Struthio camelus: one gene and its partners. The protein of the gene in region 2 interacts with the protein of the main gene of each other region in a pairwise test. Links are inferred from orthologs where the notes say so. Each region holds a gene or a part of one and is shown on either strand. Other genes may lie near its edges. The genes, in order: CIRBP, KHDRBS2, HNRNPR and EWSR1.

Region 1 (7,374 bases), on a different chromosome or scaffold from region 2:
ATATCAGAAGCTGTCAGGCTGTGTTTGACAAGATTAGAACTGATAATACTACAAAAGTGAAAATACAAGTAGATGTACTACACAATAACGATTTCAGCGAAGCTCCAAAAATCTTTATAAATACAGCCATTGGAAGGACGATCTTGAGTCAGGAAGGATTTTTACTCGTTGTGTGTAGCTGAGGACAAGAAGCAGGCACAATTGTAAAGGCACTGAAGCATAGACAAGTTCCAGCATTTTACTCCCTTGCATTATTTCAGAAGCTAATGCTAGTTCGCTATGTCTTAAGAGAACTCCCCCACCCTTGATTAAAGTTTGTTAGGGCATCTGAGTTTTGTCTTAGTCTCAAGCTTGAGGAATGTAGTTAAAAACTTGCTTTGCCTTAGATCCAAGCAACTCCTACACATGCATTACAAATTAGAAATTTAAATGGCACAACCACGTCCGAGGCTTGACAGATTGGTTCTTACGGGCAAGAACAAAAATAGTGGTACAGTCCAACTGAGCCTTACAGTATTTCCAGACTTCAGTACAGGGTGAGAAGGTTTAGAGAGTTCCTACAGCAACATACTCGTCATTCCCATTTGAACTAAGACTTACCGTAACTGTCGTAGCTGTCTCTGTAGGATCCTCCTGAAGACCTGTCGCCGTAACCACCTTGACTCCTGCTGTTAAAAATACATTCACATGCATTATATTTGTTCATCTGTTCGTGGAGCCTCTTGACATGTGTCAAACAGGCAGCGGACTTCCAAGCGCTTTGCAAAAGAACCCCTATTTGCGGTGGGTTTACCTGCTATTATAGTAGTCTCTGGAGCCATTATATCCTCCACTTCTGGAATCAAACCTGCTTCCGCCATAGCCTCTGTCTCCACCTCCTTCAACAGATGCAAGGAGTTTATTTTAGCATGCTGAGAGCTACCATTATCCTATCAATAAGTACTGATCTTTTACATACGCTCACCTCTAGAGAAGCCACGGCCCCGACCTCTGCCTCCACGGAAAAAGCCTCTGCCCCCAGAAGACCCCCCTCTGTATCCACGAGATCTGTTCTCTGATGATTTTCCAGCCTGATCAACTCTGATCTGACGTCCATCTACAGACTAAAGTCGAAAGAAAAATAAACCAACTTGGTATTTCAATGTTGAACAACAAGCCTTTCGTTCAGCGTTACAACTAAGGTATAGCCCACTACAGAAGTAAATTAGTTTTCAAGCGCTATGTATGTGTTCCCTCTGAGTTTCTATCATTTCACTGAACAGGAACACGCTTTGCTGGCTCCTCTTATTCCTTGAGAGATCAGGAAAGAAATTCCAAAGTCTCCTTACCTTTCCGTTCATAGCCATCATTGCATCTTTAGCATCGTCTATGTTTTCAAAAGTAACAAAGCCAAAACCTCTGGATCTTTGAGTCTCTCTGTCTTTCACCACAACGACTACAAAGAAAAAAAGAACATGAGCACCCAGGAAATCTAGAAAATTCATGGAAAACATCACAGCTAATTATGATGATCTTACCTTCAGAGATCTGTCCATATTTAGAGAAGACTTGTTCCAATGACTGCTCATTGGTGTCAAAACTCAGACCGCCAACAAAGAGCTTCCCCTCATCGGATGCCATTTTGTCCTGTAAAGTCAACGTACCCACCGTTAAACCAAGAAATATTTCCGCAAGGGCCAAAACATTGGATCAGCAGCCTAGCATTCTTAAACAACGCACGCTCATTCGGTTCAGCGAGCCACCGCTGCAAACCACAAAGGAGCACCCGAACGGAGGACCAAGTGCTTTCTCTTGGAAAAACCGAGCCACATCCAGGTTACGAAGGAGAGCACAGCTACCCACCACATCCGCCCTCACCCGGGGCCAAGCCACCTCCCCGGAGGCGCGCAGAGGGCTCGCCCGGCACGGCGGGCTCCGGCCCTGCCTGCAGCCGCCCGCCCCGCCCCGCGCATGCGCGCCCCGCGGGGCACAGGCGCAGCCTCCCGGCCACCAGGCCCCCCTCCCCGCCCCCGGAGACGCCGCTCCTCCCTCCGCGCTCCGCCCATTTGGCGCAGGCGCGTTGCGACGCCCCTCCTCCCACCCGCCGCCATTTTGCACCGTCGAGGCGAGTCGCCATTTTGTTTCCGAAGGCGCATTTCACCCCTCCCCCTGGTTTCCCCCCCCCAACACAGCGCACACACGCAGCGAGCAACCACAACGCCTTCGCTAGGCTCACTACACAACCTCGAAAGACAGCGGGGCCGCGGGACAGGCGCCCCCCGCCCCAGGCTCCCCCCCGGTAGCAAACCCGCTGCTTCTCGGACGCGTTCCCCTTGACTAAGGCGCTCCAAGCCTCCCCAGCCCAGCCCGGCCCGGCCGCCGCCCGAGCACCCCAGCAGGCTCCTTACCAGTATTCTGGAGCTGAAGGGTCCACACAGCACTTCAAAGTCTCAGCGCGATGTACGCTGAGGCTGGCGGGGCAGCGGCTTATAAACCCCCGCTTTCGGCCCCGCCCCTCTTATGAATATGCAAATACTGCCCCACCGCAAGGCGGGGCGAGTGACGAGACCAAAGCGCTGCCGCCGCTCCGCCACCTGATTGGCCTGGAGCTTATTAATATTCATGAGGCCCGACTGGGGGAGAGGGGAGGAGGGAGTGAAAACAAAAACGCTGCATTCCCCCTCCTTCCCTTACTCCCACGTGGGGGTGGGGCGTGGAGGGCGGCTCTGATTGGTTGGGAGCTCGGAGAACGTTGGCCAGCAGAGCCCCTGTGAGAAGAAACGAAGTGGAGGCAGCTGATTGGCTGGAGGGCGCCCCCGTCGCATTTCCCCCTCCGCCACACCCCCTCGCGGCCCGCACGGGGAGGGGGCGTGGCCGCGCTGCCCCAGTTTCGCGCCCTTCTCAGCAATGCGGCGGCCGCCGCTGCTGCAGACAAAGGGGCCGCCTGAGGGGGCGGCCGCCATCTTGGGCGGCGAGCGCTGCAGCCTGCGCTGCCTCCCGGCGGGGCGCAGCCCGCACCGGGCGGTGCTCACCGGCGGTGGCTCGGCTTTCCCAGTGTGCCCCCACCTCAGGGCCCCTCTCGTGTTCCCTTTGCTGAGGGAGGGCAGCCTGCCCCCCCACCCCCACCCCGCGCAGGCATGGCGGCCTGTTGGCTCTGTGGGATGACGGCAGGATCCGTCGTAGCAGAGCGACCAGGCCGACGCTCGGAGGCCGGGGCGAAGCGCCCCCCTCCCCGAGCCGCTCTCTGGAGAGCGGAGGCCCCTCGGGCAGGCGGCAGAGGAAGGGGCCGCCGCGTCCTCGTCACCCCCAGGCGCGCCGTCCGTCCCCTCGGCGGGCGGCCGCCCTCCGCGTCCTGCCCAAGGGTTACGCCGCGACTTCACCTTCCCCGGCCGGCTCTCGCGGCGTGTGCAGGGTGAATAACGGCTACAGCAAAGCAGCCTCCTCCTCTGAAGCGCGGTCCTGGTGACTCGACACCCCCCGCGCGTACTCCTGAGAGCATGGCACAACTAATTTTAAAAGCCGCCCCATCACCCGTTCCCAAGCATAAATGGTTTTGTGAAGGGGAGGGGAAAAAAAAAGAAAGGATTCTGCTCAGCCCATTTTCCATTGAAACGTCTAAAAGCCCACCCTGGGATTTTTATAAGGTAAGTATATCTCTAGCATTAAAAACTTCCCAGTTCAAACAAGAAGCTGTCCGACACAGGTACACGTTTCTTCAAGAGACTGCATTGCTTTAAAACGCACAGGAAAACACAATTCCCCAGTCTTTCCTAGAAAAGCTACAGTCTTGGCTCAACTATGCCATGATGTAGGATGCTATTTAAAAACGGCCGAGAGGAAAAGACGCAGGAGGAAAACGGCGGCATACGGACAAGAGCTGGAAGAAAACAGGGCTAGGACGGGTCCTGGAGGCCACGTCACCTACCCCTCTACTCGGCAGCAGGATCAGCGCCGTGTAAACTGGATCTGTGAAGTGAGGTGGGGAATTGTACTGCAAAGGAGTCGGTAATTTTGTTTGCAGTTTGCACCAGGAGAAGAGGGTGCGCACATACGCGCACCCCTGCCTCCCTCCCATCGCCTCTCTGGTCCCAGAGCTCAGAGCAGTCTTGGTCGGAACCGCTGTTTAAATAGCATACGGTATTTAAGTCAGGGCTGGGTTTTTTTCCCCCCCCCCAAATAATGCGATTGATTTCCTAACTGAGTGCCGAGACAGGAAGAGTGAAAAGAGCCATAGTGAAATGCAAAGGAGTCTTCTGCCCACTATTGTTATGTGAAAGCAGGGAGTACTCTCCTTCCCTGCCTCTCAGAGTAAGGAAATTGGACTTTTCCTCCCTGATTTGATGTTACCCGTTTTGCGATCTACAGGGAAAAGATTGTTTGTTTTGTACACAAGCAGGTATAGTAATTATGAAATACAGAAGAATCTCAGTATTGCACTCTGCCCTAATCTGTACTGCTGTACACTCAAAAATAGCTGTTTCATTACTCCTCAGCACAGCTTTCATAATGGAACATTGCGGATTTTATGTTATGGTACTAAAGCGTTGGTCGTTTCGCCAAACATACAGCACCAGCAGGGTACAACAGCATGCTCCACCACCGTGCATTACTGGCTACAGCTCAAGTACTAGTAAGCGCATTAAAAATATATATATTGATGAGGCACCAATCTATTACTATTATTACCTTCTTACTGGTAAAACTATGAAAAAATGAACTAATTTTCCAGTCCAGAGAAGAAATTAACAGCATTAATAATACAAATTATTATATATGTTATATATAATCTATTGGTACTTAAGTGTGTCTGAGATGCTTTGCAGTAAAAGGAAAATAAAAGGTTCAGCACTCAAAATATTAGAGCAATAATTAAAAACAAGATGAAGCTGTGAAGGTAGGATAAGATATTGCAATATTTTTTTACCAAAAAAAAAAAATTTTGTTTCCTGATTGGAAGTAGGTATTTTAAACTCAGCGTTTAAAATGTTGAATAAGCCTGGGTTATTTTTTAATTCTACCTAATATTGCATCACACTGTGTGGTCCACCGGTGCACCAGTCATGTCAAAGGACGGGAGAGGCAAGGAGAGAGGACTTGTGTGCCACCTGAGATCGCAAGTCAATTTTTGCCCTTGAAAAAGACAATTCAGCCCTGAGCTTGAATCCCCAGCATGGCATTTTGATTAAATTAGGGACGTATTAACATAAGCATTTCTGGTTCACGATGAGGGCGGGTAAAGTGACCTTGACGCATGGAGCCATTTTGCAAGCGGAGACAGGGAGCGGCGTGAGTGGCGGTAGGACACGGCACGGCTGCCCTGGGGATGCTGAAGGGGAGGAGGCAGCGCTGTAGCTGCTTGCATATTCCTAAGGCCGTCAGTACCGCAAACGTCAAGGGACAAACACGGTTATTTTTAATCGTACTTTTTTCTCCTGCAAAGCCGGTGCGTGTTAAGTGTTTTTAAAATAGTACAGTTAATCTTTTATGTACAGTTTCAATGGAATTTGGGTCCTACCAGGACCAAAGGCTTGTGCAGAGACGCGTAGCTCTGTTCACCGCTGAGCATTGGCCCTCAGGGCCTGATTTGGCTCCTCTAACAGTAAATGGAAAGATCCCAGCTCTCTTCTGCAGCAGCTGGATTGGGCCCCAGAAGCCGAAGACCTGATTCCGGTCTCACTTGGGTGCATTCATGCTTTTCCTTTGAAACCAGTGAAGTTACACTATTAAACAAGGTGAGAAACAGATCAAATCAAGATCTCCTGTGCTGCCTCCACTCGCTTGTCCCAGTTCTGGTGCTCTCAGGAGGCTTCACGTGCTCCAGTTCTGCTTATTCCTCCCTGTCTGATCCAGGGCATTAGAAGCCGCGTGTGTCACTTTAGCTGGTAAACAAGTGGGCTGCAGCGGCCACGTGGCCAGAGCTTTCACCTGTTGGGCACTGTCATGAGTTTGTCCCCGGCACAATGGGCTCCGGGAGGGATTCAGCACAGGAAAATCTCTTGGCGTACCAGAAAAGCACCGCAAAACTACAGCTGAAACCAGCGCGGGCAGTGTATGCCAGTCAATAACTGTCCCGGCTGATTTCACGTGTTGTTATGGCAGTAATTAGGCAATGAAGCATAACAGACGTGATACATGTCACCAGAGGTAACCTTTCTGTAGCAATGACTGACATTTGCACAACTCCTGACCTGAGGATCCCAAAACTCTCGACAAGGTAAAGCAAGAAAACGGTGCTCAGCGTTAACTTTTGCGCTGTTTCTGCCTGTGGGTTAGATGCTCAAGTAGCCCCTGCACAAATTTCAGGACAGAGCATGAGTTCATTTGTTTTATCCAGCTGAGGCACATTTTCAATCACCTTTCGGTCGCCCGACAAGAAAGAACTGTAGTTAAAGTGACCTGATGCGGTGGAAGTGCTGTTGCGTCTTCCGCAGCTGCAAATAGCTGCCTTGACCTGTAGGCTCTCCGAAGCAGAGGCCATCTCTCCATGTGTTCATGTGGCTCTTAGCACAATGCTGCGCTCCTCTGGACTGTGGACTTCAGTGTCTGATAACTGTTAAATCATAAATCACAAGAAGCTGGAGGGATCTCAGGGACCAGTCTTGTCTGTTGGCTCAAGCAACCCCATTCCTGGCAGATATTTGTCTCACCCATTTCTTTAAAACCTCCGGTGACAGAGATTATTGTAGCATATAAAATGATAGTACTTACGTCCTAAAAGAGTCTCCTTCCAGCAGCACAGCAGCTTTTAGTGCCACATGCAGGGAGCATCGATAGAGGAGTGCTAAAAAGCCTACTGTAACGTCCTTGTCTCAGTCACGGTTTCCAAATCTAGTACTCAGCACCCCCCCTGGCCTCCAAGGGACCTTTGCAGGATGGATGCAAACAGCTGGATTTCTTCGAGGGACCTCCGCTAGGCAACATTTATTACCTGTATTTGTAGGGGCCTTTCTCCAGTCCTTTAAGGCTGGCCTCACCCTGTAATCACAGCCATTTTCCACGGGATAGAGCAGTTTGGCATCTGCCCAGAGCCACACAGCAACCAAGCACAAACTTGCTGCGCAGCCCGCCTGCTCCCGTAGCCTGCGCCCAGAGCCAGGGGCAGAGCGGGAGAAGCGTCTGCCCCAGGCGCCGCTGTGATCAGCTTTCCAAACCGGAGAGAACAGACCCGAATTCCTCCGGGAGCTGCTGACGCCGGCCTCGGGCGAGGGCTGGGGAAAGGCGCTCCCAGGAGGGACGCGGGGAAGAAAGGGGGCGAGGAGGAGCACGGGGACGGCTGGCAGAGGCCGACCGGGCACCAAAACGCCTGGCTGTGGCTCTGATGGTATCACCGCCTGCTTCTCCGCGCTCCGACTCGCACAAGCCCTGCGACGGCAGGACTGGAAAGGGGACAAAAAT
Region 2 (6,928 bases):
CTTAACTCGCGATTAAAGTAAAAGACCTGATTCTCGTTGCCTTCAGAACGCCAGCTGAAAATCTGAGGTCAATTGTACTGTCATTAAACAGAGCGAAATTAGCTACCTCATTACCCAAGTAGTGTTGATATTTCAATAGGGAAAGATGCTTTTACTTTGGCTGGCTCTTTTTCCAAAGGGTCTTTTTCCTTTATGTTTCTACTAGAAAACACAGGCAATTGGTTTTAATAATATACAATGTAAGCTATTTCAAAGCCACGCATACATGGAAAATTGCCGACATATTGTTTGCGACAAGTAGCTGACACTCTGGCTTATTAAAATAATGCTGATATAAAAGAAGTTACAAATTATCAGAAAGGTCCAGTGGTTTGTAGCTTCCATGTGTCACCCACATCTTCACAGCTTAATAAGTTAGGCACGTCTAAACATAAAATACATATTTGTGGGAAGGAAAACGGCAGAGTCTAATATTAAAGTTTAAAAGAAACAGAAATATTTTTACAAGTCAATCCAAGTAAACCCAGGTGTCATGAACTGAAACTGTATTTCTGTAATGCTGCTCTCTTGTGTGCCCTTCTACGGTTTCCAACAGGAGCATGTCTCTTCTCAACCTCAGCTCCTAGCAAGTGACATGAAAAATCACAGCACTTTCAAGTCAGAGCTGGAGGCTCTCCACTCTGAAGCAAAAAATCTGCAACCAGCACTTACACATTTTATACTAAATCTACTGGCAATCAAAAAAGCTTAGCACACCACAAAAATAACACCTGACTACTATTGGTATGTATGCAGCTATTCATATATTATTTTTCAAAGAACAGAAATCCATAATCTGGAAGCATTGCTTTAAAGCCAGCATAGCCTAGAAACATATTACTACAGAGATTACGCTACTGCCCTTGCGCTACTGCTCCATGTTCTTCTGGCATCCCAAAAAATTTCCGCCTGTTGTACACATTTTTCCTTCTGCTTATACCCAGGAGCAATCAGTGCATTCACTCCTGTTTCCTTAACTAGTTTGACTCTTACTTTGATGAAACTGTTTCAATAGTTATCATATGTTAGACTCTAAAATGAATCTCTAGAAAGCTTGACAGATGGTGTTTTGAAGGATAATGCCAGGTATCTGGTGTGAATCTGACATTAGCATTCCCTACAGCTTCCACAGACAATTCACCTTCATCTTTTTTAAAAATTCACATACTTAGTCCTAGTTATACTAAGAACGAAGGAGAATGCTAATCACTTATGCAGTCTCACAAGCCACTCAAAATGCAATTTTCGCATGAACTTGAAACTCAGAAACTCTGTCATCCCCCCCCCTTTTTTTTTTTTTTTTAAAAACTTTACTTCACACACTTTGAATTACTTCCTGCATGCATTTTCTTTCTTTCACACACACACACTCTCAGTAGATACCTCCCCCTTCTGGGAAAAGATCAAATTGCAAGGTGCAGAAAATATGCCCCTTTCCGAAATAAACATATGGTACATATAAAGTCCTTAATAGAAAAACAACTATGGGAAGTAGCGTGGTTATCTCTTCAGCAGCAGGAGACCAATTACAAAGGTATACTAAATGTGTCATTATTCATACTGAACTTCCAAACTATCAAACAGGGGCACTTTAATAAAACCTAGACTCAGTACCTTTATTCACAATCAAGAAAACGTGTAAGAAAGAAAGACAACAGAAAGACTGCTGGCTTAGGGAAAGACAAGTACTGCTAGCATAGTAAGTTTTAAGTGGTTGTAATTTTTCCTTAAGATGTTACAGAACTTTGGAAATTATTCACTCCTCTTTGAATGTGAGATAATTGGAATTTGCGACTCTCTCAAGGGCCTAATCATCCATTTCTTTGCCTCAGTCTCATTTAAGGGTTTGATAGCCTCTCTTGATTTATGCACTCTTTACTACTTCGTTTTGATATTTGGATCCAAATTTAACAGTGACTTTAGAAACGAACAATATACACCTCCGAAGGAACAGAGGGAGGGGGCCGTCACAGATTACGGTGCTGTGCAACTGGAAGCGCCGTACTGCAAGGCCTGCGCTCAGTAACCACGTTGAGCGGGTATGGGGGAAAAAATAGGCTAAATTATAAACTTTTAAAAGACTCTCCAGTCAAAAAAAAAAAAAAAAAGGCCTCAACCAAAATGAGGAAAACAGAGCTACGTTATGATAATGAAGAACGAGATGTTATGAGTGTTTTATTCTAGATCGCCCCACGAGTCCAGGAGTAATTCATCACGTCCTGAATGAACTTGTGGCATGAAACTGATAAGCCCCAGCCAATGAACGCCTGACAGAGCGGAGTCAAGGAAAACAGTGCTGCATTGAAGGCGTAACAGCGTTATCATATAAGCCTTATTATTAAGCACGGGAAAGAAGAGGTAATGAGTTCAACGAGAAACTAGCGTCTGCCTGTGTGTAAATAAAACCAGGGGCCATGGCAGCATGCTCCCCGAGCCCAACCAACTGCAACGGCCCGTGGGACCAGCGCGGCCATCCGCCTTCTACGGACAAGCCTCGAGGAGAGACCTTCCCCTTCCCCAAAGAAGTAAAAGGCGCATTTCCCGGCGAGCGGCCGCAGCAGCCCGCCAGGGCGGGAGCTGGCGCGCCCGCGGTTAAACCCGGCCCCAGCGGCCGCCGCCCGACGCGCTCCGCACCTGCGGCCGGCAGCGCCGGTGGCCTCCGCTCCGCGGACCGAGGCTGGGGGGGACGTTGGGGGGGGGGGGGGGGGACGCCGAGCCCGCCGCCCGCCGCCGCCGCCGCGCTTCCCGCCCGGCCCGGCCCCGCCGCACCGCCCCGCTGCCGGGGCCGGGGTCGGGGCCGGGCGCGGAGCCTTACCGTCGGCCAGGAGGCGCATGGCGTGAACAAAGGAGGGATCCAGGCTGTCCTTCTCCGCCATCAGCTCGGGCAGATATTTCTCCTGCTCCATCGCCTCGGGGCCGCGGCGGCCGGGCGCTGCGGGGCGGGCTGGGCTGGGCTGGGCTGGGCTGGGCGGGCGGGCCGGCTCGCTCCGCGCCTCCGGCCGCCTCGCTGTGACCCGGCGCCCCGCCGCTCTCAGGTGCGCCGCGCCCGCCGCCGCCCCGACGGCGCGGCTGCCCGCGGCGGCGGCGGCACCGCCTCCTCCTCCTCCTCCTCCTCCCACCCCCCGCCGCCTTCGCTCCACGCGGGGGGCGCGTGTGTGGGCGCGCGTGTCCCAGCGTGTGCCGCCGCGCGCCTCTGCCCCCCCCGCCCAGTGAGCCACCCGCTCCCACCGGCCGCCCTAAGTAGGGAGGCGGGGCCAGGCACGCTCAGTCCCCCGGCTCCTATTGGTGGCTGTGCCCGGCAGGGCGGGGGCCACGCGGAAACTTCGCCGCGCCATTGGCTGTCGCCGGGCGGTGGGCGGGGCGCGGAGCGGTCTGGGGCGGGGGCGGGGGCGGGGGGAGAGGACCGCGCGCGCGCGCGAACGTGTGTGACTGGTGTGTTGGGGGGGGTGCGTGTGCCGTGTCTCCGTGTGTGAGCGTGCGCCTGTGGCTCTGTCTCTGAGTGCTTCTTTGTGCACGCGTGTGTTGTGTCTGCCTGTGCGCTGTGACTGCGTGTCTGCGTCGCTCCTGTCCGTGCGTCGCAGCGCGCGCGCGCGTGTGTGTATGTGTGTGTGTGTGGCTGCCGCTCCGTGTTTCGGTGCGTGGCTGTGGCTGTGCGCGCTGTGACTGCGTGTGTGCCCGTATATGTGTGTGCGTGCGTGCGCTCAGGAGCGTGTGTAAGCCCATTTGTCCGTGCCCGTGGGCTCCGCGCGGCTGCCCCGCCCGCGGGCCCCGGCGGCCGGGCGCTGTCCGCGGTGCTGAAGCCGCCGCCGGCCGCGGGGCGGGGCGGCGGCCGTGGAGCAGCGGCGCCTCGGCGGCGGCGGGTCGCTCGGGGCCCCGGCGGCTCGGCGCGGCGCGGCTGCTCGGGCCCGGCCGTGACCTGTCCGCGCAGGAGGGGCCCGCGGGCGGGGGCGGTCTCGCGTGGGCAGGCAGCCTTGCGCCTCCTGGCGCAGCGAACTGAAGCTCCTGCACCCGCACCTGAGGAATTACAGCGGCTACGCAATTGAAGTGTCTACAGCTGGAGTAAATAAAACTGATTTTGTTTTAATTAGAATTTAGCTTTAAATATACGTTTACTCTAGCTTATATTTATTCAGGATTTTCCCCCAACAGACAATTTACTAACATGTTTTGATTCTGAGAGTAAACAAAAGATGTTTAGCTCATCTTAAGGCTGTTAAAACGTCATTTGTGGGGCCTCAAGAACAAACTGTCCATCATACAATACTATGTGTGCTATGCTCAACCTCAAGGTGAGATTCTTTCTGCTTTTAACTTAATATGTTTTTCTAATGAAATAAATAGTTACTGCCATAATACACTTTCAAATCACCTACTACTGTTCCTCTTAAGGGATTTTTTTCTATAGTGTTTGGATTTTTATTTGTACTTTTTTCAGGGGATGAAGGAATAAGCAAAGGTAAAAATCAGGACAGAAAGGTGTTAAACAGCCATAGAAAATGGTCTGTGATGTCTTCAAAAACCTGAGATATATGCAGACAGCCATTACTCAATTTCCACTCAGTATGTAGAGTAATTGAGGGCCTCCATGTATTTATAAAAATACATATAGCATAGATGTAGAAGACTGAAGTGCTACTATTCCTATTTCTAGAAAGAAAGGAAGAAAGAAAAAAGAGAAAAAGAAAGAAAGAAAGAAAAAGAAAGGAAAAGAAAGAAAGAGAGAAAGAAAGAAAGAGAAAGAAGAGAAAGAAAGAAAGAAAAAGAAAGAACAACAAAGAAAGAGAAGGTATGAGAACTATGTTCCCCACTGAGAAAGGCAAGGAGCAGGAAAACAGTTTGATTTCAAGACATGTGAAACACTTCAGAAGTAGATAATAAGACTCTGATTATGGAAATGACTGCTTTAATTGGCAATCAGCTTTTGTTACATATTGGATGTGGCGGTAAAGGTGTAAGTCCTCATTTAAAAAAAAACAAATAAAACAAAGACAAACATAGAACTAGGGGCAGTTCTTCTTCACATGGCTCACAATTTAGCAAGAAATGCCATATTGTTTGCGACAGAACTCAGGACTATCTTACCTGAGAGAGAGATCGCCTGTGTCTTCATACCATACTTCTGCAGCTCTACTCCTCAGAATAATTCAGGCTGGTCCCCCTCACTTCAAAAAGAGAAAAGATCGGTGACAGCTCTTGCTCCTGATTCTCTGAGAGGTCTTGCTCCTGATTCTCTGAGTACATCTTCAAAACTAATTTAAGCCATCCTTACTCCGAAGCAAGGCTGGTCTTCTAGCCTTCAGGGCATGCTATGTTCTCAAGTATAGGAAAGAAGTTGTTTGATGGGCTTTCCATCTGGGGTGCTATAAGAATAAGAATATAAGAATATAAGAATAGTGTCACTTTAGTTTGTTTAGTTGCAGTTATCCCACTTAGCTTGTAGAAAGCACCTACAAGAAAGCACCTTGTTCAAACACCTTTATGTTTATTGAGCAGTGGGAAGGGCTACATTCATTGAACTCATTTCTCTGGTCAAGGGAGTACAGAACAGGTTGGCATGCTGATCTTTTTACAGCAAGGTAGGCAGAGACAAGTTTTCTGTAAGTTCCATTTTCAAAAGTTATAAAGTTAAATTGACTTTCAATGATACTTAGGCTGCAAAGCCATTGAGATGCTTTTCTAAATTTTACCTTAGACCTCATTAAAAAAAATCATTAAAATCTGTCAGACAGGAAATATAGACCTCTAATGACATCAAGCATGGCTTCATTGCTAGTTGGAGATTGAATTCTTTTTCATAGCTACTAAAAACCAAAGGCACATTTTATAACTTTTTAGTTTAAAGTGTCAAGCCAAATTAAAGTTTATCCGTACTATATTTTATTATTAAGTCTGATAATGAAGCAGATCACAGCATACTAGATTATAGCTTATTTGAAGATAGACAGGTAGCAATCATTGTGTCTTTTTGCCACTACCAGCTGAATGTATCTCCCTTGTGCTATCATGTAGCACTGAAGTCAAAAGGCAGTGGAAGCATACTGCTGTAGAAAATCTCCAAACTTTCCAAATATATATTTTAAAAACTAGGAAATCCTTTGAGAATATGCAGTAGAATGAATGACAAGTGTGAGCACAATGACAGTTACATTTCTGAGTCAGCACATTAGTCACTGTAATAAGTTAGATGAATTAGATGAGATCACACCTTTATGTGTGTGATTACACCTAGGCCTTCATACACCAGAGACAAGATTAGTCAGGAGTTTTCAATTTCAGAAATCCCATTTGCTTTCAAATTTCTTCTCTGTTTCACCCATTTTTAGCTAGGGATAGAGATTATCTGAGCTCCTAAATTGACTACACATCAGCGTAAACAGCCTAGGGAGTTTCTACCATCAGCTGTGTTAACTATATCCTATCCTTAAACCAGAGTTATTATTCACAATATAAGGAATAAGGAAGCAGCAATACATGCATAAGTATGTCTCCCCCTCCTTTTCTTTAGTATGTTTAATTCCTTCTTGGGACAATGGCTGTACCTGGCTTCTATCCGGCCACTGCCCCCTCATCTGTGAACCCTAGTCCTTGGAGTTCATGCTGCTTTACAATCTGATAACAGGACACCTGGACGCATACCTGGACACAAGTTGTCAATGCAAAACTTATTTCCATAATGAGAACACTTGGCTGAACAACCCAGAAAGGAAATGTACTTCAGCAAATACACCAATCACTGTAGATCACCTTCTGACTAGCCACTTTGCACAGCAAAAGACTCAGGCATTTGGTCCAACTCACAGCTGATTGAATTCAGTGGAAAGATCCTGATATCAGTAGATTTTGGATCTCTCCACTAATACAACTGAATAAACACTGATAGTCTTAAACA
Region 3 (7,678 bases), on a different chromosome or scaffold from region 2:
TTCCCCCTCCCCCATGCTTAAACAACTCAAATGGTTCAAATAGTATTTTTCCACCAAGAAAAAATGAATTAATATACACCTGACCATGATAGCATTTGGCATATTAAAACAGAAACTTGATCTCAGCCCTTAACAGATAATCATTGATGAAACCGCCATAGTGTTATTATCTCCTATTTTTTATACCATCCCTCTAGAGGCTGCCACCCTCAGACTAGCTGAGCATACTTCCATCCAATTAATTATAAATTCAGTCTAGTTAATTCAAAACATGTTCAGTAACAGCTTAAATGAGCAGAAATGGAAACTTCTGGCAGAAGGACAATAATATTTTAAACTACTATAACCAACTTTGCAGTGATTATCCAACAATACGGTTCTCAGCCTTCTACTGTTTAACTTTGATTTTGCAAAGGAACTAAACTGTACTTGTTTAGCAAAGGTGGACAGGAAGCATAAGTCATACATAAAAACTCTGCACCAAAGCCATTTCAAGTTGCTTATGTTACTAATCCTCCTATTGAATACATAGCCTGCAGGGTCTAAAGAGAAAAAACAATAATTAGACTACATTAAAAATAGAATTGGGGGAGGGGGGGGATGTTAGACTGAGTCTGATTTTTTTTTTTTAAATGAACCTCAAGAAAACAAATTTAGTCCCCAGAAAAATATCATCAGTCTTGCACTTAAGGTTTCTGTCAAAACACGAAGAAATTTATGAGCAAGGGGAAGAAAGGATCTTAGATTAGGAAACTCAACTGGGAGTTTATTAAAACCTCACTTGTTCACAAAAGTGACTAGCATATCCCTTAACATTTCTTTGTGCGAGGATTATAGCCATTTCGTTTCAACTATAGCTTATTCAATCACGGAAAGCGTATTTTAGTAGTTTAATTATATCATACTAATGAACATTTTAGTATGTCATATAAGAAGACTTGTTTTGAAGTTATCACATCTTTAGAAGTAATGGCCTTTACACATTAGCAAAGTTTTCTTACCAGCATCTCATTGACAGACTACCTTTACAACGATGAGTAGTTAGCACCCTCACCCCTCCAGCACAGTTTTGTCTTTCCCATTCCATAATGCCATGGAATGAAAAAAAAAAAAAAAAAAAAAACCTGAGAACCTCCATCATTATCCTAACCAAAAGACTAGCACAGTCCCCACAGAAACTACGCTTCATTACCTATGCAAGTATAAGCAGTCCCTCCATCAAGAGATGACTCTACCACAACAGGTTAGCAATGTGCACAAAAGCCATCAGTGCCATTAAAATACAGCACTGACTGATTCAGTACCTACCACGTTTTGCTAACCTGAGCTATAAAAATCTACGTACCCTAATTTCTACCTGGAGCTGGCCTTTTATGGCTCACCTGATTGTCTGGGTTGTACAGAACAACGTCCATAACATTCTAGTTCAAAACAACACTTCAGCAAAAGTGAGCATTATTCTGATGAACTTGTCCTTAGAAAGTTTTGCAGATCTTTGTCTATGAGAGCAGGGAGCATTGCTTCTTTCGACAAAACTATTGAGTATTAGTGGGAGGCTCAAATATTATCCCAATAGGGATCACATCTAGATAAAAAACTGAGAGGTAAGGATATTAAACACTCATGGAAAAATATAGTTTCTAAGATAGAAAAATGTCATCTAGCCTCTGCTAGTTTGCAAACATTACAGTTTACATAGTGAAATTACACTGTAAAACTCTGGTTAGATGGTCTTTACTTTTAGAAGACACATAAAATAATTCAGTGCTATACAAAGTATAATCTTAAACAAAAAAAAAAAAACCCAACAACTTCATATACATTAACTCCCTTTGCAGCCCAAAAATATCATGCTGGTAGGATCCTTCAGTGAGATACTGGGGGGTGGGCGGAATGCAAGCAACTTTCCTCAAAGAAAAGCTTAGTCCAGTACAGCTCAAGTATATGATTAGCCACGTCCAAGAATTAATAGGTAACAAGGTCGCTAAGATCCAGTAACTAGAACCACGTGAAAAAAAAAAAAAAAAAAAGGAGGGGGATTTAAAAAAGGCTTCGTTTAAGGTTTGGTAAAGATCTTTTGGTAAAGAACACTTAAGAAAACCAATGTCCTTGCAACAATGCTTCCTTCAGAGCATTTAGCAAGTGTTACTGTCTCAAACAAAATACTAAGTGCCAACCTGAGAGCTGCGAGAAGATGCAGTGCAGTTCTCCCTCCCTACAGCCAGCAGTATCAAAATGCGCTCTACAAGATTTCAGAGAGTTATTCATAGCGCTGGCAACAGCGATGCGTTTTCTGTCAAAGTCTTTTCCAATTCCCCACACGCATAATGCGGCACAGATCGGACAGTAACCACGACAGCTGCCTATCAGGGCGTCTGAGCTGTTAAAATACTGTTTTTCCACACTGCCCAAGAGGGGATCGAGAAAGGGCTTAACTCCCAGCGCAGAGGGACACACGGCAGCCATCGTTAGCAGTACCGCAAGAACAGCTCCCGCCACGCTTCCTCCCCAGCCACATGCAAGGCTAATCCGCAAGGCCGGGCGGAGCCAGGGCGGCCTCCGGCCGCGCTGCCCTCCCCATGCAGGGCCCGCGCCGGGCCGCCGGGCCGTCCTCCCCCCCCCGAGGCCATAGGGCCCGCCCCCGGCCGCTCCCCAGCACCCGCTCCCGCGCGCGGTCCACCCGCCCGCTCCGCCGGGGCCTGCGCAGCAGACACCGTGCCCGGGCACCAGCGGCGCCGCAGTCCCGCTTCGCCTACGCGGCGCGGGCGCCCCAGGCCCGCCTCCGTCAACGCCGGGCCTAGGCGGAGCCCGCGCCTGCCACCCCGCCGCAGGGCCTGCCCGCGAGCCCGCTCCTCCTCCCCCGACCGAGGCGGCCCCCCGACACCATCGGCACCCCCCGGAGACTAACCGGAGCGGGGCCTGCGCGGCGCAGCTCGGGCCCAAGCAGCGACGGCAAATGGCGCGCGCTCCTCCTTCTCCTCATGGACGGCGACGCGACCCCGGCAACACGCGGGGTTTCCCGGAACTGTTTCCAGGGACCGCTGCTTCACCCACTCAGGGACTCGCACTTCAGACAGGCAGCCGGCAGCGCCTATGAGAAGCGGGAGGCGGGTGGCGCAGCTATTCCCAGATGCCAATGAGAGGGAGGCTCTATAGCCAATCGCGCCGCGCTTTCAGCCCGGCGCGCCGGCAGGGACCGAGCTGGGGGGATTTAAAGGGGCAGCGCCGCCCGTAGCCTTGCGAACAAAGGGAGCGGGACGGGTGCGCGGGGGGCGTCCCGCCCTGGGCCCTCGCGCGCCTGCGGCCGGGCCCCGCCCCCGGCGGCCGGGCGTCGCCTGCGCGCCAGGGCCTGCGGCTGGGTGCTGCCCGAGGTGGCTCATCCCGGGTGGTGACTGGGGCCCTGGGGCAGACAGCCACCGGCTGAAGGCGTTGCCCGTCGGGGTTAATCCTAGCCCTGAGGCCGGTGGGTGTCCCGGGGGCCGCGTGTGAGGAATTCACAGCGCGGCCCGGGCCCTGCCTGCGGGAGGGATTGCTGCCTCAGCCCAACGGCTCTGATTGAGGCCTGCCTCATGCATGAGGGACCAGGGCCCTAGTATTGCCTCTCCTGGAGGCTGCTTCTTGTTAAATTATGCTTTCTGTGCAAATGCTGCTTTTCTGTCTTGAAGAATTTGCTGTCCGTATCCTGCTGCTCCAGTAGTTTTTCCTTGGCCATGTAGGTCTATCCAGTAAAGTCCTGCTGGCTAGCTAAGATAGCATGAGGTTTAGCACAGCACTATATGTCAGTTGTAGGGTTTTTTTTTTGTTGCCGGGTGAAGCCACTGGCCATGCTAGGAAAGACTGGTAAGCTTTACTGGAGATGAGAGCCAGCCTGCATTGATATTACTGGTAAGTTAATCTGAGGCCGTTAGTAGATTTGGCTTCCAGGTCCGGAGTAAAGAGGGAAAGGTGTGTAGCAGCAAGAATCCTGGTTCAGAGCCTTCCCTGAAAGGATATCTGTGTGAGGTATGCTGGTTTCTAGATAATTCATCTGTGATTATATGTAACTTGCCTGCTTACCTGGTCTGTCTGCTTGATCAGTCTATTTGATGGGTGTAGACCTGATGCATTAAATACACAGTTCTGTGGGAAGTCAGCTTCTTGGCTGTGATGTTGTTTTTCCTAGGCCACAAAGTGTTGTGCTGACTTCCATTTCCTCAGCCTACAGTTGCATGACATGAGAATAACTGTTTTGTGCTTTGAGGTCAAGGTGAGTCCCAGAATATTGTGTGAAAGTGAATCCAGAGCATCTATGTACATAGATGGCCAGGTGAACCATCACTCTTGAGTCTGGTAAGTAAAGAAAAACAGTAGCCTCTCATGCTTTCAGAAGGTTCTTCCAACAGTTTAATGACAAAGTGACACTCTTCAGAAGACTGCATGTATCTGTGCAATGTATTAAGTGTGCATATTTCCATCGCCCTTAAATGGAACATAGATAAAAACTGTACATGTTACCTGCTGTAAATGAAAGAAGCTTTTTTTGAGCCAGAAGCCAGAAGTGAACTCATACAGATATCAGAGGTAAGCAGTCTATCTTGTTGAACCTGTCTCATGGCAGACATGCTTGTTCTCTTGTGAAACCTGTACTGGCTCTATGAATTCTATCTCCAAATTTGGCAACAGTGACAGCTTTTCTTTGTTGAAGGTAGGGTCTAGTGTGGCATAAAGATGCAAGGGAACATTATTCATTGCTTCATCCATACAAGTTCACTGCAGCAGTTGATCCGACTGTTTGGGAGTCAAGAATAATAGGTTTAAGGAGTTCTCCCAGCACAAAATTTGAGAGAAATTGAGGGATGTTTACATGCACATCTGTCACTTCAGTGGTGCTTAATAAACATTCTGCAAAGCTCTTCAAAATATCTTATGATGTCGCATCCAGGAGTGAAATACAGAGTACTAACATACCTACTGTTAGCTGACAACTGAACATGATGAGACTAGAGCAAAATTTATATTGAGGTAGGTACACTTTTAGTAAAGTAATTTCAGTTGCTAAGCACTACCAAATCTTGGTAGATTCAGGAAGAATCAGGAAGATTTCTAAGGTAGTCATTGTCAGAAATGCCTTTAAGGCTTTTAATTTGGCACTTTTTCATCATTTCTGCATGGGTGTTTTCCAAGGGTAATTAATTGTATGCAGGTAGTTGTGAGCATTAGCAGGCTATGGGCTTTGGGGTGGGGTAGGGGTTTTTGGGTAGTTCTCATTTCATAATCAGAATTCATATTGATATTGTGTTAAGCCTGCCATGTCTTTGCCAGAACAAGACTTTAGCATGCTATTTTCCTGCTAGGAGATTATTAATTTCAGCCATAAATTGGTGTTCATAGGATAGAATTTGTAATTAAACATGGTTTGACAGCATGAACAGCAAAAACAGCATGAAAATCATCTACGATGTGATGCATGCTGCTGTAATGGATCTGACCTAATTCTGACATGAAGCCACAACTGCTGGTATGTTTGTGGTTATCAACCTATGATGAATCATACCAGTCTCTTCCCCCAGTTGAAGATGGTCCTTCTCTCCATTTTCACCCATGGAGGTTCTTTCCTTGGTGGTTTCTTTTTTTTTTTTTTTTTTGGGGGGGGGGGGTCTTCTGGATGCTTGACTGTTAGAGGCTTCTGGACATGAGAAGAGAGCATCTGCTGTTGTATTGCCATCTAGTATAGAAGTACTAGAGCTTCATGCTGGCTGTAGATATCTCTAGTCCCTTGGCTTTTGGACTGGGTTCTGGTACATCACTCCAGTATATCTATTACCCCCGCTAGCATCTGCATGTGCTTGGGCAGCTGTTCAGCTTTTTGGTCTCGTGCTCCATACAATAGCCTCGACCAAAAAGATCTAAACACTGAACATCTCTAGACAGGAACAAGCTATGGCCTGCAGGTAGTAGAGTTCAGTGCCAGCCAGCAAGCTGGGCCTGAAAGGAGGTCCTAGATGGTCTGGAACAAAGAGTAATTTCAAAGAGATATTGCTAGAAATTCCTGGAATTATGCTATTTACAGCTCTGTGTGGTTGAAAACAAACAGATGCACGCAAGACCTGAACTATTCCTGGGCCAAAGCAAGGCAGAACAAAGACCACCTTAGAACCAAGAAGGTGGTTAATCTCTGCTGCAGGGAGCTGGCTTGCATCAATCTGGAAAGACAGGCAACAAAACTTGCTGCCTCACGGACATTCTACAGTCCTTATTTATCAATGAGGAAGCCCCCAACAAGTTCCACTCCTTAAAGCAGGGAAATGCTCAGGAAAATGGCTGCCTAGGGATGCCATGCTGCTAGTATTACCCTGTTAATTTCTGCACATAAGTTTATTTTGCCTTGCACAGAGCCAGTGTCTTTGATTTTAGGGAAATAATACATTTTAAATATAAGCATTTGCTCTGTCATACCTCCTTCCCCTGTCTGTTCTGGAGTGGGGAGGGCTAGAGTGACAAAACAGCCCAAAGAAACCAGAATGGGTAACCTGCGGACCTTGCACTAAAACAGCTTGTTGAAGACCTTGGATACATCAAAGGGAGGCAATTTTATTTACTAGAATTCATTCCTTCATGGTAATACAAGTCAATGCAAGCAGATTGAGCAGGTCCTATCAATTTAGAGGCAAGGTTTCAGACTCTCTCTCTCTCTCTCTCTCTCTCTCGTTGCTTTTGCCCCTGCCCCACAGCCAAGGAGTCTTAGCAATTTCCATCAGATTGTGCAGGATGCAGCCCAAATTAAGCATCTTGGGAAGAAGCTTGTGCATAGCATCATCTTCACAGTCTTAACACATCTCAAATATCAGCTCCAAGTGCTGGCGCTCAGCACCCGAGTTGCCTCAAAATAGTTGACAATTAGGGAGTAATGGTTTCTAAAAGACAACTGCCCCCTGTCCTCCACTGTCACACTGGATTCCAGAACTCCTGTTCTGAACTCCACTAACTTGGAAGACAGGAATTTCTCCAGGCCTGGTTCTATATCCTCCTTGCAATCCTCCCCTATCAAATGATAAATGTTTAGTCCCCTACTTGTGCTTTTATTCACTGCTACCAGGAAATCACCCCTTAACAGGGCAGCAGAGACCTATAACCATCTTAGAGATAGTTGATTCATACAGCCCCAGTGCCAATACAAACAGGAGGCGATGTTTTAGTCTGCAACAAACTACAAGCACTGAAGCAGCCACGGTCCATAGCTGGTATCTCCTTTTCTGCTGTTGTGGAAACAGTTCAACCCTAGGTTTCCAAGGAGCAGAGTCTCTCACACGTATAGCAGCAAAATTATTTATTTAAATGATAGTACAGCATAGTAACAGCTTGAGCTGGATGCCTCCGGAGAGGGACCTCAAACAAAGACGTGCTGGGGTAATTATACCCTTTGAAGTCTTATTTCCCTGCCTGCCAGTGAAGGTCTCCTCCAATCTTTTTTTTTACTGAGTCAGTGGTCTCTCTCCTCCTGGTTGGTGCGTCTTTCCTTCTGATTGGTGTCATTCTTCTTCTGACAGGTCCTGGCCTATATGCCACGCTGGGTGCCATGTCCTTGTTTCCCCACAGTCCCTTATCTTCTTGAGGGTGCATCCCATTTGTCTTCTGCATCCTGTTCTGACTCCTCATTAATTGGTTTCATATCCTCATTAGCTTTTTTTTTTTTTGATTA
Region 4 (8,005 bases), on a different chromosome or scaffold from region 2:
TTTCAAGGACAAAAACAAATTGCTGGAAAGTTCTAACACTCTCCCCATATCAAAGTTCAAGACAGGCAGCTGGCAATAATTCCTTCCCCAAAGCCCTGATCTATGGCAACAGCCTGATTCAGAGGAAAACTGAAATTCAGAAAACGCAAGCAAAAAAATCTACACTTAACCAGTTAGCTGCAAGGGATGGAAAATGCATCCAGCATGGCAATTACAAGGCTATATTTGAAATGATTACAGCTCCTAAATGTACGCTTTCCCTCATATTGCAAAGCATTTCAGTTTCCTCCCAAACGTCTAGAGCAAACGGTAGCGACGAGTTCATCGCTTAGCCCAAACCTTCCCAGACAAATTCAAACTCTTCCAGAATCAGAAGAGGCCCATCAGCAGAGTAGGGAGATCAGGAAAGAGTTCCGACTTCCAATTTGCCACTTGGGCCACTGCACTTGACTGAACTGGAAGCAGACAGAAACAAAATGCTATTATACCTTTTCTTATACAGAGCCAAACAGAAAGAGGTTTAGGTGTTTCTGCTGCCATAGTACTTAGGGTAAGCTAATCTTTGGTAAAAACCTGAAGCGCATGAATTTAAGGAATCTGGCTGAAGACTCTACAGACATCAGTTATCCTCAGATTATAGAGAGTGCCTTAATCCCATTATGACTCCAGCTGTTTGCAACTGAAGTTGACAAAGCACGAGAAAACATTTTGAATAGTTTTCTGCTGTCATACACCTTCATGCACCAAAGGTTCCCGTTTCTTGAGGCCACAGACTCGTCCATAATACAGCTTTCCACTCTTCTTCCTAACCCTTCTGCGTGAACATACGGCTTTTCCTCCCTTTCACTTCTCTCTATTGAGGCTGGAGCTCAGGCTCTAGGGCATGTGTTGATGGAAACGTATTAAGAAAGGAGATGCCATAACTTTGGTAGTAGTTTTTGACAGATGTAAACCACTGCACACTGGTCAAAACACAATAAAAAGATGCTCAGCTGCTACTCAAAGGCTTCCAAAATCCTGAAATGCGCCACATACGTTGTTAGACTGTTTCAGCACTACTCCCGCTTTCCTTATATGTTGTCAGGTTTAAGATTTTAAAAGTCCAGCTTGCTAAACTCAGGGCCTTGCCTCTTTTTTCAGTCTACGCGTGACTACCAGCTCCGCAAAATGTGGAGCATTAAATACCATCACCAATTCCCCCTCATCCAGTTGAGCTTCTTCCATCTCTCACTGCCTCCTCCTATCTCTCAGCGCTCCTCCATTCTTTCCTGCATCTTGCTGTACAACGTCCTCACTCCCCCCTCTTTTCCCAACCTCACCTCCTCTTCGCTCCCCCATCCGTCAAAACCTCCCTAGCTCTCATTGAATTCCCATTTCCTGCTCCACTCTGGGCTGCTGTCATCCTTCAGGCTGTTCACATCTATAGCTCCAGCTTCATCCCCTCCAGCAGGGCTGACTGCCGGGCACCCATCTCCCCAGCCTTCACCCCTGGCCCACTGACCACCGGCAACCTACCACCACCCCGGGCTTGGATCTTCAGCTATGCACACAGTCGCCAGTCAAAGCCTCCTTCGCACACTCATATCCCCTTTTACAGCCTTCACGCAGGCATACCGAGATACTCCATTCCTCCCTTAGCTAGATTTAAATCCAGGTGAGTAAGTTTAATTTGCAATTTGTCTTCTTCTCTTCCAATTTGCTAGAACACAGATTGGTGCAAAGCGTTCAAAAAAAATATTATGGTTAATTTTTTAAAAATATCTCCGAGCCCTTATTTCCAATGGGAAATTAATCCTCATACTTATATTTCACGAGGCTCAGGAGCACAATAGCGCAGCCTTAAAATAGTAGCTCCCACAAATGAACATTTCCATTTATTAAGCGGAAAGACAGCTGTATTTTTAAACCCCATTTTGACAATGCTACGGCACATGTTTCTTTAGTAACTTTTTTCCCCTGCTCTCCAAAGCGATATTAGTCATTCTCCTTTACACTCCTTGGTATATGACATTTTCTCCTGTGGGACGATCCAATCTTCTGCATCGGGCTTTAACTCTACATTAAACATGATGCCGCCACCGTTGATAAGTCTGAATGCTGACCTATTTACACCCATTTGCGGCCCTCACGTGAAAGTTATGTTTTCCTCCACAACGCTTCACTGATTTCCTTCAAAGGAATCACAGTGGCACCAACAAACAGCCTTGAATAGCCCTTAGGGAAAAAAAAACCCAAAAAAACGAAGGCATGGGGGAAACCTTCAATAAAGAGAGCGATTTTTTGGAAGGGCGTGAGCCAAAGCATCTTACTGCGCTTTTTCTAGGGTGGAAGCTCTAGCAATACGCTATCATAAGCTTTTTTTTTTTTTTTAAAATAAACTGACCAAAAAAAAAAAATCAAAGTATTCCCATCAGAGCGAAGCCCCGGAGAGTTACGGCTTTCTGATGAGTCACCACTGACAGCAGCGAGGACCCCTGCGCGCCACGGGCTGCTGGGGGGAAGCTCGGCCCGGCCGCGGCCAACCGAACCGAACCGAAGGGGCCGGCGGCGCGGGGCGAGCCCGGCCAGGCCTCGGCCGCGGGGTTGAACTCAAGGCCGGGCTCGCCCCGCCCGCCGCGACCCCCGGGCCCGAGCGCGCGGCTCAGGCCGCGGCGGCCCCCAGCTCCGCCGGGCGGGACCGCGCCGGCGCCGCCATTGTGTCCCCGGCGCGCCGAGCGCTCAAACGCGCCTCAACGGCACCGAAGCGGCGGCGGGAGCCGGCGGGCCCGGACACGCGCCGCTGCCCGGCGGGGCCGCCCCGGCGCGGAGGCGGCGGCGGCCCGGGAACGGCGCGGCTCGGGCTCGCGGCGGGGCGGGGGAAGGGGGAGGCCCCGCGGCCCGGCCCGGTTCCGCTCACCCGTCGACGCCATTTTCTCGCCTTCCTCCTCGGCGCTCCCAACGTCCGGCTGCTGCAGCCGCCGCCGCCCCGCGCCGCGCAGGCGCCGCCCCTCCCACCGCGGGCCGCACCAAGGCGCCCGCGCGGGGAGGGGGGGAGCGGCCCGGCGGCCGCCGCGGCGAGGGGCAGCTGCCCCGCCGCCGGGATCCGGGCTCTGTCTCGGTGTGGCCGAAAGCCGGTACCGGCCTCCGGGCCGGCGGGCGCCGCTGGGGACGCCGCTGTCCTCGCGCTGCCCCGCGCGCCCCCCCTCCCGGCCGGAGCAGTGGTTCGGCCCGCCGCGGCTGGGGAGCGTCGCGCAAGAGGCGCCTCGGCCGCGGGGCGCAGCGCGGGGCCGCGGCGCTGCCGGCGCCGCCGCCTGACGTCACGCGGCGGCCAGGCGTCACCACCGCCTGACGTCACGTAGCGGGCGCCAGCAAGCGAGGCCGCGGCGTGGCGTCATCGCGCGGCGTCACGCGCGGTGTTGGGGGGTGGCGGGGGGATGTCACGGCGCAGCTGCCACAGGCGGAGCAGCTGCCGCGTGGCATTGCGCGTGAGGTCACCTGTCGCACGGCGTGACGTCATCCTTTGAGGCCACAGATCAGGCACAACGTCACGCAGTGGGGAAGGGGGCCCGGCTCAGGCTAGGCCTGGGGCCACGCGTGGGCAGGATGCCCCCCCGTGGGGCCCCCCGACCCCCCTTCCCCCCCGCCTGCCCCTGGGGCACGCAACCCCCACCCATTGCCTCCCCCACGAGTGTGGCGGGAGCCGGGGGCACCCCGGGGTGCCGGTACCGGGGCGGGCGCCCCGATGGGGGCCGCGGCCACCCCCTGCCCCCGGCGGCTGTGGCCATGTGGCTGCACCGGCAGGTACTGGGGGGGCAGCGAGGCCGGTACCAGGGGGGTCTGTGAGGCTGGTACCGGGGGGGGGCGGCGAGGCCGGTACTGGGGGGGGGGCAGTGAGGCCGGTACTGGGGGGGGTCTGTGAGGCCGGTACCGGGGGGGCTGCGAGGCCGGTACGGGGGGGGGTGGCGAGGCCGGTACCAGGGGGGTCTGTGAGGCTGGTACCAGGGGGGGCGGCGAGGCCGGTACTGGGGGGGGCAGTGAGGCCGGTACCGGGGGGGACTGTGAGGCTGGTACCCGGGGGGCGGCGAGGCCGGTACCAGGGGGGTCTGTGAGGCCGGTACCGGGGGGGTTTTGAGGCCGGTACCGGGGGGGTTTTGAGGCTGGTACCGGGGGCTCTCAGCCGGGGGGTGCCCGGTGTTCAGCTCTTCCCGGGGGGGGGCCGGCCCCCGGGGGGGGACACGCGCACGGACTGCGCCGGACACGGGCTTCAGGGAGGCGTTTAATGACCTGGCGACGCGGGTCGTTCCCAAAGCGGCTGGGCTGAAGCGCGCGGGGGGGCAGCGGGGGGCACGGGGACACGGGCCGGGGAGGGGGACCGCGGGGCGGCAGCGTCCCGCCGGCTAGCACCAAAACGCCCTGCCGGGCGGCGGGGCGCAGGACGAGACGGGGCGGGCTGCAGGGCGCCCGCCGGAGCCCGACGCCTCCCTGCCGGTACGGGCCCGCCGTCGCTGGGGGCCGTCGCTGGGGGCCGTCACTGGGCGCCAGCGGGGGGCTCGCGGGCCACGATGCGGTAGGTGGGCGGGCGGCTGCGCTTGTGGCGGGGGGAGCCGGGCGCCGCAGGACCCCCGGGGCCGCTGCCCGAGCCAGGCTCCGGTTCTGCGGAGGAGAGAGGAGAGAGGCGTGAGGCGGCGGTCCGGCGCAGGTGCAAGCCCTGACCCCCCGCGGGACCCCCTGGCACCCCGGGAACGGGCTCTGTCGCACCCCCCCGCCCCCCCCCGCCACCGGCCGCGCAGCCACGACGGCCGGGCCAGGGGGTCGGCTGGACCCCCTCCCCATCGTGAGGTTTTTGGGCCGTGCTGGGGTGAGATGGGATGCCAGGGCAGCTGTGCCCATCGCCCCGGGTCTCTGGTCCCCCTGTGCCCATCGCCCCGGGTCTCTGGTCCCCCCCCGGCCCATCGCCTGCCACCGCGGGCCAGGCCCGTGGTCCAGGGGGCTGGATGGGGGCCGCCGAGCTCGCCGGGGTTTCTCCTCATCGCCTCGCGGGTGCTGAGCACCAGGAGCCCGGCCGCCCTCCGTGTCAGCCTGGCACCGCGCTGGGGACGAGCGAGTCCCCACGCACGGAGCAGGGCAGGGGGCACACGACGCCGGGGCTGGCTTTGTCCCCCACGGCGCTGCGGGCGCGTGCCAGGCGCCCCGCGGTGCCCCCGCCGGCGATGTCCCCGGCCCCCCGGCGGGTGAGCTGCCCCCAGGCCAGGCACAGCCCCGCTCACAGGGACACGGGACGGCCACCAGCCCGCCTGGCACCAGAGCCCCGCGCCCGCGGTGGGCTTCGCTCCGGGGTGACCGGCCCAGCAGGTGGGTGGCGGGGGGGACAAGGAGAGTCGTTTTGGGACCCGGCTCATGGTAGCTGCCATGCCCAGCTGGCACCCCTGCCTGGCACCCCTGCCTGGCACCCGGCTGGCACCCCCCGCCTGGCATGCGGAAAGAAAAGAGCCCCCTCCCCGCAAAAAAGCAGAGCTGGAAAGTGGAGGCGGAGAGAAGAGAAAGGCAGAGGGGGGCACCCGCCAGCACACAGCTGGCACCCTGGCACCGAGCGGGGCCGGGCACCGGGGGCTCCCCTGGTCCCAGGGGAGTCTCTGGGGTCTCCTTCAATCCAAGAGGGTCCCCCTGGTCCCCTTTGGTTTGAGAGGGGCTCCAGAGGTTCCCTTGGTCCTCGGGGAGCTCCAGGGTCTCCCTCGATCCAAGAGGTCTCCATGGTCTCACTTGGTTCAAGAGATTCTCCAAGGGCTCCCTTGGTCCAAGGGGCTCCAAGGTCTCCCTTGATCTGAGAGGGTCCCCCTGGTCTTCCTTCGTTCAAGAGGAGCTCCAGGGCCTCCTTTAGTCCTTGGGGAGCTCCAAGGTCTCCCTTGATCCAGGAGGTCTCCAGGGTCACCCTTGTTTTGAGAGGAGCTCCAGGGCCTCCCTTAGTCCTTGGGAAGCTCCAGGGTCTCACTTGGCCTCTTGGATTGAAGGTCTCCATGGTCTCACTTGCTCCGAGAGGGGCTCTGGAGGCTCCCTTACTCCCGGTGAGCTCCAGGGACGTGGTCCGAGGGGCTCCGGCCTCCCTTGCGCCAGGCAGCCCAAGCTCCCAGGGGGACGCGGCGAGCCCAGCTCATGCGAGGAGGGGAGACGGAAAGCGGCGCTGTTACCTGGCCAGATGATGGCTTCCAGCAAGGTGACCCTTCTAGCCAGGATCTCCAGCCGGGCCTGCTGCCGCAGGAGGGTTTGGAAGCTACTGGCCTGGTGGAGAGTGAGAGAGCAGAGCAGAGAGCGCGTTCGCCCCGCAGGCGCAGCAGCGGGCGCGGGCGGCACAGCACGGGCGCAGCCGGGCCGGCAGCGGGCACAGCAGCAGCAGCCCTCAGGGGCTGAGAGGGGTGCTGGTGCGTGGGTCGGGGGGTGCCAGGTCTCCCAGGTGGGTGCTGGGAGGGTGCCGGGGGCTCGCCGGGGTGCTCCCAGGCAGGGGGGTGCCAGGAATCCCCTGGTGCCAGCAGGTGCTGCGGGTCCCCTGGTGCCAGGAGTGCTAGGTGCTCCCGTGGTCCCAGGGGGGTGCAGGGGGCTCCCCTGATCCCAGGGGTGCCAGGGGCTCCCTTGCTCTGACCCTGGGGCAGCTGAAGCTGCCCCGATGTCCCCGGCGGTGGCTCCTTGGTGGTGCCCCAACCCAGGGCAGCGGGCACAGGACGTGGCCGTCCCCGCCTGGGCTCGTGGGGACACGGGAGCTCAATGGGTGCCCAGCACCTTGCAGCCCCAGTGGGCGCTGGGGCTCCCCCCGCTCTCCTGCCCCATCATACGCTGACCCCTGTGCAGTGCCAGACACGCGGGGGGGACGTGTCCCCAACCTGCCCTGGTGCTACCAGCTTGTCCCCAACACGGAGACTGTCACGGGCATCTCTGCACCCGGCGGTGCAGGGGAGGGACCCCGGGGTGCCCGGAGGCCCTCTGCCACCAGAAGGTATCCTCGCCCTACGAGCGGGTCCCAGTGCCGTGATGTGATGTCCTAACACGTGTGATGATGTCACACGTGTGATGATGTCATATGCTGCGGAGGGGGGAGACGCTCCGTTGTGCCGGTTCCCCCCCACGGAGAAGGGGAGGGGAGCACAGGGCTGAGGGACGCCTCCCCGCAGCCCCGTGACATCAGCGCGCCGATGCGATGTCATCAGGGCCTGGCGCGCTCCACCTGCGACCTGCTGCCGGGGACGGGGCAGGGGGACGGCGGCGACTGCCCGCCCGGGAGCAGCCGGCAGCGGGGACCCCGGTGCGGGCTCGCTCCTCTGCTGCCCCTACTCACCGTAGAGCCCAATCATTGTTTCCAAGATTAAAACCCTCTCCGCTAAAATCTTCAGCGCCTCGCGGAGCTGGTGTAAACCCTCCCCCTGCGGAGGAAGAGACAGAAGGGGCCGTTGAGGGGGTGCGGAGCAGCCACCCATGGGTGCTTCGGGGCATGGGGGTCCTGCCCCTGCAGTGCAAGGCCCCCCCACCCCCCGCCGTGGCTTCGAGCCCACCCGGCCGCTGAGCCCTCCCCGGGCACGCGGCCGGACCCTGCACCCATGCCGCAGGGGGGCTTGTTCGGAGCCGGCCCCCCCGACTCACCGCAGCACGATGCCGGGGTGCCCCTGGGGACAGCGCGGCCGGAGGCACCTCGTCCCCTGCCCCAAGGGCTCTGAGCCCAATCCTGTTCCCCCAGCACCTGTCCTGGGGGTCCCTCCCCCGGGGCCAGCCCGGCTCCGCACCCCATGGTCCCGCACGCAGCTGGAGGGGACAGCGGGTGCCAGGCAGGGCCAGGCTGGCAGTGCCACCTCCATCCTGCCTGTGGGCACAGACACCCTGGTGGGGGCAGCTGCGACCGGCCGTGCCATCAGGGTCCCAGGAATGCGACGTGGGTACCAGGCACTGCAGGGACCCCCATGCCACCATCGGGGTCCCGGGGATGCAACAGGGGTACCAGGCACAGCGGGGACCCCCATGCCACCATCGGGGTCCCGGGGATGTG

What was found.
Region 1: the proteins of KHDRBS2 (region 2) and CIRBP interact in binary tests that used the Homo sapiens proteins (3 or more experiments, as listed by UniProt). The two-hybrid records come from large-scale screens. The link is inferred for Struthio camelus from reciprocal best matches to the Homo sapiens genes KHDRBS2 and CIRBP.
Region 3: the proteins of KHDRBS2 (region 2) and HNRNPR interact in binary tests that used the Homo sapiens proteins (3 or more experiments, as listed by UniProt). The link is inferred for Struthio camelus from reciprocal best matches to the Homo sapiens genes KHDRBS2 and HNRNPR.
Region 4: the proteins of KHDRBS2 (region 2) and EWSR1 interact in a two-hybrid assay, tested with the Homo sapiens proteins (2 studies listed by BioGRID and IntAct). The two-hybrid records come from large-scale screens. The link is inferred for Struthio camelus from reciprocal best matches to the Homo sapiens genes KHDRBS2 and EWSR1.

Annotation. Positions count from the first base shown.
Region 1 is NC_090967.1:7,052,246-7,059,619, forward strand, and holds the start of CIRBP (cold-inducible RNA-binding protein), read right to left. Parts: upstream 3,010-7,374; 5' UTR 2,388-3,009; intron 1,627-2,387; 5' UTR 1,621-1,626; coding exon 1,518-1,620; intron 1,436-1,517; coding exon 1,329-1,435; intron 1,104-1,328; coding exon 965-1,103; intron 879-964; coding exon 794-878; intron 669-793; coding exon 601-668; intron 179-600; coding exon 162-178; 3' UTR 1-161. UniProt on the Homo sapiens protein: Cold-inducible mRNA binding protein that plays a protective role in the genotoxic stress response by stabilizing transcripts of genes involved in cell survival. Acts as a translational activator.
Region 2 is NC_090944.1:36,990,599-36,997,526, forward strand, and holds the start of KHDRBS2 (KH domain-containing, RNA-binding, signal transduction-associated protein 2), read right to left. Parts: upstream 3,002-6,928; 5' UTR 2,946-3,001; coding exon 2,855-2,945; intron 1-2,854. UniProt on the Homo sapiens protein: RNA-binding protein that plays a role in the regulation of alternative splicing and influences mRNA splice site selection and exon inclusion. Binds both poly(A) and poly(U) homopolymers. Phosphorylation by PTK6 inhibits its RNA-binding ability.
Region 3 is NC_090964.1:2,706,115-2,713,792, forward strand, and holds the start of HNRNPR (heterogeneous nuclear ribonucleoprotein R), read right to left. Parts: upstream 3,018-7,678; 5' UTR 2,984-3,017; coding exon 2,909-2,983; intron 1-2,908. UniProt on the Homo sapiens protein: Component of ribonucleosomes, which are complexes of at least 20 other different heterogeneous nuclear ribonucleoproteins (hnRNP). hnRNP play an important role in processing of precursor mRNA in the nucleus.
Region 4 is NC_090958.1:5,247,544-5,255,548, forward strand, and holds the start of EWSR1 (RNA-binding protein EWS), read right to left. Parts: upstream 3,009-8,005; 5' UTR 2,910-3,008; coding exon 2,897-2,909; intron 1-2,896. Other genes in the region: EMID1 (EMI domain-containing protein 1), read right to left, coding at 4,508-4,632, 7,304-7,388. UniProt on the Homo sapiens protein: Binds to ssRNA containing the consensus sequence 5'-AGGUAA-3'. Might normally function as a transcriptional repressor. EWS-fusion-proteins (EFPS) may play a role in the tumorigenic process.